Linked DNA regions of Saccharomyces cerevisiae S288C. Changing the gene in region 2 together with the main gene of any one other region gives a genetic interaction. Each region holds a gene or a part of one and is shown on either strand. Other genes may lie near its edges.

Region 1 (3,309 bases), 1.1 Mb from region 2:
TAAAGTCTGTCCGAGGTACACTATCTGCAACAGGGAGAGAAGAAAAAACGGAATCATATGATTTATTTAGCGCCTCACCCGTCTTAGCAGCCATATTCACACCAACACTAGTGGGATCGCCTAACGAGACGGAATATGCCCAATTATCGGAATAGGCGTGTTCTGCAGTCAAGGAAGCTGTAGTTTTGTTATTTCTCTGATTATATCGCAGGATTCTAGACAACGACATCACTCCGTATGATAAGTAAAAGGATTACGTACGCTATTGTGAACGTTTTTGCAATCTATCTAGTTTTTCCTATTAACTTTTTTCTTTTCAAAAATTCATAAAGGCAAGGAAATATGTTCCGATTGACAATAAGTTCAGTGAGTGAATGAATGTTAATGAAAAGAATTCAATTTCCAGATTTTCGTATTTATTTTTTTTTTTTGCACCTTTCCTTATTGTGTGACCACAGCCGAAGGTGACGAAGGGATGGAGACTAGCCAAAGAGAGCCGGCTGTTAGACAAAAAAAAAAGCGGAGATTGTTTAACGGATACGTCTTAATAAGCAATCCGGCAGCACCGAGAATGTTTTTACCCTCTGTCCTTTTTCTTGGCGTTCCTATAATTCAAATAACCCCCAATATGCTAACAGCCGTAACCTTAAATGTTAGACATGTTACCCCTGTACGTCATTGCGGGGGGAGTGCATTGATTAAGGGGTAGTAGTAAAAATTCCCACCGGACTTGAAGTGCGGAAAAGTAGCTCCGATTTGGGGAAAAAAAAGTACCAGCCGTCTCGTCTTTCATGATAAAGTGAAATAGAGCAGCGGTAATAATGCGGCGCTATTGCTTCCGGAAGAGTTTACGTATTGGGCATCTTTGCCATTTCTTTTTTTGGCAGTAGCATGATTCTGCACGATTATTTATGTTTTTCCCTTTATTTTCTTTTTGTCTAAGATACATGGCGTATAAAATTAAATTTGTACTCATTTAAGTAGTTTGGCTCTATCAGGATGAATTCCTGCAGGAACAGGCTTGTTGTCTGTTCCAGAGGTTTGAGCTGCAGTGGCGGTAGTTTTGGCGATTTTCTTTTGGTTGCCGTCGTTAATCATCTTTGTCAACCTCTCTTTACGTTCTTCATCCAACTTGATGTTTTTGTTTTTCAATTTTTCTAGACGCTCTTGACTGTTACCACCTCCGCCAACAGTTAGCTCGACATTGATCTTCTTCTCTTTCAGTAAGGTCCCATGTTGTAATAAGGCAATGTCCATACGTCTTTGAATGCCGGTGCGATCTTTGTCAGCATCGAATTCCAAAAATGCAATACCTTTGTCAGCTCTGAGGCGGATCTGGTCGGGTGAACTATTTTTAAAATGGTTTTGCAATTCAACAGCAGTGATGTCTCTAGGTAAGCTACCGACAAAGACAATAAATCTGTTGCCCTTTTTACCATTTTTGCCCTTACCACCACGGCCTCTACGTGTTTTTCTTTTTTTCTTCACGGGTTCTTCACCATCATTTCCGGCTGCACTGTTGGGTCTTTTTCCTTCTGGTGCTTGCTCTTTTTTTACGTCTTTCTCTTGATCTTTTTCCTCCTTACTTTTTCTAAACTGCTGAGCTTTGAGCTGCTTCTTGGTCAACTTTTTATCTTCCTCGGACCCCATTTTAGCTGTAGACGTCTTCAATCTCTATCCTGTCCTCTACATTAGATTACTTTCTCATTTTCTCAGAAAACCTTTTAAGCTCATCGATTAAGAAGAAAAAAATCTTAGAAAATTTTCAGGAATGCCGGGTAAACGTATGGGGAAAGGACTTGGTGAATCGAGTTAATGTGGAGTTCGTAATAATAGTACTCTCATACCAAGTTTTCCATCCATAATTGTTTTTGGTTGCCGTTACTTTACACCATCACCTTTCGCCAATGTAATTGGTGGCTCTTTCCCTCTCCATCTTTTTTTATAATGTACTAAAATTAATACACGATAACAATTTTTTCGGGTTGTGTAAAAACTCTGAAAAATATAAAAAGTTGATGAAAGGACAGATTTAAGTATTTTGGAAGACAGCCGTAAATTCATTGGACTACAGAGCATAAAATCCCGTGATACGATAAAACTCTAACGATGTTCTCATATTCAGATTTCTGTTCTATCGGTACGGCCATGATCTTATCGGCCACAACGTTCCTAATGGGTGTTTTCTTCAGTAACATGCCATACGATTATCATCTTTTATTTAATCCTAACTCTACTCAAGAGCATTTCGATTTGGCACTGAGACATTACCAAATTTTACATGAGACTCCATTGCCGGTGATTGTTACTTTGTGCGTTGTTGCCGGTATTGGCTTAGTTGGTGGTACAATTAAGGTTTTCAAGCCAAACCCTGAACTGCAGATGTTTGAGTATTGTTCATTGGGGTTGTACGTGTTGGCTATCTGTGTGTTTCTCACTAATGTGAAAACAGGTATCGACTGTTCTGTGAGCCATAATTGGGGAGAAGTTACGGAAAATCAGGGTTTGGCAGTTATTGCTTCCTCCAACATAATTTTATTAGTTATGTTTGCCGGTGTTATCATCCTACAAATTGGTTTGTGGTACAGTAACTGGGATTTGCAAAAAAGATTAAAGGAGTTTTATGCTCAAGAAGAAAGAGAAGCTGCCAATGCCGGTAAAAAGACTGAGAAAGTTGACAATGCGAAAAAGAATGATAACAAATCTAAAGGTGCTCAAAAGAGGAAGAACGCCAAAAAATAGGCCATAATATTTTTAACATTTTCTCTTTTTGTCCCTCTTTTCCCGTCTGTGACGAAACAGACGATTATACGAATCTAGTTGTATAGTAAGATCAATATTTATTATATAAATACTGTTGAATAAATAAAACTCTATCTGCTTCGTGCATAAATTTACAAATAATTCCAAAGAAATAGCAACAAGTACCAGCCTTGTTTAGAAGTACGAAAATCTTGGAATCCACTTTTTTCTATTTTTAAATAATTTCTCTCAAAAAGCTATTGGTTTGCTGAATATTTGGCCGAGTAATAGTAGACGCACTGGAACTTGTTTCTTCAATGGATGACTCCGCAGATTCATTGTATGACGATACGTATGAAAATCTCCCGGATTCGTGATCCGCCATCCCATAATAAGGATGTGCTATATATATACCGTCTGAGGAACTAGCTCTGTGTAAATCTCTACCATTTTCAAAGGAATCTCGTTTGCCCTCGCCGTTGGTTGTTACTTTATAATTAAGGACATTTAGGAACGGATTTGACGGTGCTTCTGTTTCTGTTACCTCATCACAACTTACCCTCTTGC
Region 2 (3,909 bases):
ATATATGACCAATGAAAAAGCAATGCAACGTTGAAGGTGAACTCCTACACTGTAGAATCTCCCAGAGCCATACGCTTGAGGGCATAGAGTATCTAGACTAGTGGCAATACCCTCGAATATCGCTAGTGTTATATTAGAAGTCATGGATGCTAAGGACACAGCTGCTAGTTCATTTTTGCCTAAGTGGCCCACAGTTAATGAACATACCATAGGGAAAATCTGTTCCAATAAGAATGTGAAAATTAGAGGGAAGGAATAAGATGCCAAAACTCTTGCTTCTGATTTGAAGGTGACGTGGCTGTGAGCCAATTCTGCTAGTGCCTCAGAATCGTTCTCGTCGATCTCTTGGTAAATTGTGGGAACTGAGCCTCGGCTAGTCACAGATACGAATGATGGTCTTCTGTGATGTGAGGTGCCTTTAGCGTCTGTTACCGCACTTCGAGTTAATTTCTGTTTCTGAGCTTGGAGTCTATTCATAAATTCGTCATATTCTAGTTCTCTTCCAGAATATTCTTGTATTCTATCTGGTGTGTTGCTTTGACTTGCTTCCTCATTATCAGAGTTGCATACCGATGAGTATCGTCGTTCATGTTCATGTAGAATCCAATCAACATCTTGTGGCGAAAGCTCAGGAGTTTCTGATACCCTTGATGGTAGAGAAATCGTTCTGCTCAGTTCGCCATCTTCTTCATCATGATAGTAAAGGTCAGGTTCCTCATCAATATTACCTAAGTACGGATTTGGTTCATGGACGTTACTTCCAAAATCATCTGTTAAAGATCTGAAACTCCTCTGATCAATATTTCTCGTTCTTGCACGAAATTTTCGTACCAGAGGATTCTTCTTGTTGGGAGGTAGGAAGCCTAGCGATATCCTCCTGTGAGTGTTACCGATACCCATACCATTTGTTCGGAGGGAAGGATGCACTTCTGAAAGAGTCTTTGACAAAATTCCAGCCATTTTTTCAACCTTTTTTTTATCCGTATATATTAAGGTATGCTATATGTGTATTTTCCAATGTTTAGTTTTTATAATAATACTTCTTCAGCATCAAATATGCTTGCTTATGTAAAAATACAATCAAGTTTTGTCCCTTGCTTGCGCGAAGATGAAAACTTCCTTAAGAAATATTCTGCATCGCGTGGAACCCATGGAAGAGGATAATAGCTGACAGTGATATTATGAAAAGATGCCAAATGGTTACCGTTTATAACTGTTACTGGTCGCGTCTCAAACGCCCTCTTTTTTCTCCTTGCATTTGCGTTTCTTTAGAGCAATTATTGAGTAAATGGTCTTGAAAAGAAATAGAAATATCCTTAGGCATTTCAGTTCATCTGAAAACATGCTCCAATACGGGCAAACCATGAACTTGTTGTTATGAAATTAATATACATATAAACCAAAAACATTGCACTACATACTTAAAGAGTGAATACACAGTAGTTTAAAAGACATCTGGCAATTTTTCAATGACGTATGCGTGACCGCCTACGCTCATCAAAGGAATTCCAGGGATTTTTCTAATTCTTTGTTTCAGGCCGGCATCGTTTGTAGCTACGATGTAACACTTATGTTGTAAGACTCGATGCACTAAACAGTCATCCGCGTACGTACCCTTGTGCGAACAGCTTAGTCTCTTTATTCTAGGATCTCGAGCCAGTTTCAAGGCGATACGGTACTTGGGGCCCAATTTTTCTAACTCTGCCATCACACAATCTGTGATTAACGGGTTACATTTTGCGAGTAGACAGTCCATCATTCCTCTAACAATATCGACTTTTTTCTGGATAGAAAAATTTATAAAATTGGTATCTATCAGTACTTGATAAGGTGGCTTTATAGCTTGATTGTATTGAAAGAAAAGTGCACTTGATACTTGTGGTATATTCCTGGTTAGCTCAGGGTCTTCTTTAGTTTTGATATTTTCCTGGTTTTTCTTCAATCTTTGGTCTTTCTTGGTGTTCAAAGTTCTTTTTACGAGGCCAAACTTTCTTGTTTTCTTAGCTTTACCCATAATTAACTGTTGTAGTATATCGATATTTCCGTTACAAGTCACTGTTATTGTGTGTTAATGCACAGTAATGTTTAAAGAGGCATCATTCAAGAATAGTAGCAAGCTGAAAAATTTTAGCCGTTCATAATGATACCTTTAGAAATATGCCAAATTTTTTTGTTATATCTTCCAGTAGGAACCGATAGTTTGAGTAATGTTTATAAAATCATTGCAAGTGAATAAGCAATTAATGGCAATAGTCCACAAACGATAGGTACATGAAGGTGGCTCACAATCAAAAAAATCAAGCTTTAAAATAGTGGATGTAGAAAAAATAAAGTGCGTCACAGACAGGATTCGAACCTGCGCAGGTAAAACCCAATGCCTAATTGCTTTTCTGAGGAAATAGCAGGCATCGCCTTAACCACTCGGCCACTGGGACTGAAACACTTTGAAGTGAAAGTGTTTCTAGTTTTCTATATCATTACTATGGTGAAAATCTATATTTTCTTGATTAGGAATAAAATCATGGAAAGAAGTGTTGGAATAAAAATTCACTATCGTCTGTCAACTAATAGTTATAGTATCAATATACTATCATATACGGTGTTAGATTATGACATAAGTTATGAGAAGCTGTCATCGAAGTTAGGGGAAGCTGAAGTGCAAGGATTGATAATGTAATAGGATAATGAAACATATAAAACGGAATGAGGAATAATCGTAATATTAGTGTATAGAAATATAGATTCCATTTTGGGATTCCTATATCCTCGAGGAGAATTTCTAGTATATTCTGTATACCTAATATTATAGCCTTTATCGACAATGGAATCCCAACAATTATCTCAAAATTCACCCAATTCTCAATTTGATAATTGTTGGGATTCCATTGTAAAGAAAATCGGTATTTCTACATTATAATATTACGATTATTTCTCCTTTTGTTTTTTATGGTTTTCATTACCCTATCACATTATCAATCTTTATATTTCAGATTCCATTAAATTTGATAACTTGGTTGATAGATGACAGTTAATTCTTTTTCCAATAGAAACAACGAAGACTTTTTTCTTACTTTTTGTTGATGTTTTTCAAGTTCTGTTTGACCCGTATTTTTCTACGTTAAAATCGTGATTACTTTACGAATCTTGTTTTCTTATTTTTTTTCGATCTATTTAATGAAATGTGGACAATGGCCCCTAACAAAAAGATGGCAAGGATTGAAATAATCCGTTTATACAATTTATATCCAATTATAGAAATAAAACACATTTGAAGAATGGCTTGGTGGAAAAGTTTATTACATTCTTTCTACGGGAGTTAAACCTAACAAGCGCATACCGTTGTATAAAACTTGTCTTGCAGCACCATATAGAGCCAGACGGGCAGTTGCTAATTCTTCAGTTTGACCAGCAACCCATAAGACGTCATAACAAGAAGAAACCTGGTGAGTCAATTTGAATAAATATGTGACCACGGTTGTTGGCTCGTGGGTTTTGATTGCATTTCTCAAAACATCGGGGTATTGGCCTAGCAGTCTAATCAACAGTTTTGCGGCAGGTTCTTTTAATAACGAAAAATCGGCATTTATCCATTTTTCTTGGGTGATACCAGAAGCATTTCTTTCAACTGATCTTAACCTTGAGTGAGCATATTGAAGGTATGGACCAGTGTCACCTTCGAATGAAAGCATTCTTTCCCATTTAAACTCGTAGTTGTTGATACGCTTACCTTGCATATCTTGAATCATGACGGCAGAGATACCAACTAAATCGGCAACTTCTTCTGGATGCTCAATTTGCGCGTATTTGTTCTCATTCTTTTTCATAACTTCGTGCATTTTTTCCTTAGTTTCCTCCAAGATATTATCTAAGAAGACAACAGTACCTTTTCTTGTTGACATACCTTGGACC

What was found. Genes that interact genetically often act in the same process or in processes that back each other up.
Region 1: mutations in FCF1 (region 2) and NOP6 together harm fitness more than expected from each alone (negative genetic interaction), as found in Saccharomyces cerevisiae (2 studies listed by BioGRID).

Annotation. Positions count from the first base shown.
Region 1 is NC_001136.10:76,317-79,625, forward strand, and holds NOP6 (Nop6p), read right to left. Parts: upstream 1,651-3,309; coding exon 973-1,650; downstream 1-972. Other genes in the region: serine/threonine protein kinase PRR2, read right to left, coding at 1-229; SHR3 (Shr3p), read left to right, coding at 2,110-2,742; YDL211C (uncharacterized protein), read right to left, coding at 2,978-3,309. UniProt on the Saccharomyces cerevisiae protein: Predicted to be involved in rRNA processing.
Region 2 is NC_001136.10:1,148,507-1,152,415, forward strand, and holds FCF1 (rRNA-processing protein FCF1), read right to left. Parts: upstream 2,015-3,909; coding exon 1,445-2,014; downstream 1-1,444. Other genes in the region: YDR338C (uncharacterized protein), read right to left, coding at 1-960; YDR341C (arginine--tRNA ligase), read right to left, coding at 3,297-3,909. UniProt on the Saccharomyces cerevisiae protein: Essential protein involved in pre-rRNA processing and 40S ribosomal subunit assembly. Required for the early cleavage steps of 35S rRNA at the A(0), A(1), and A(2) sites.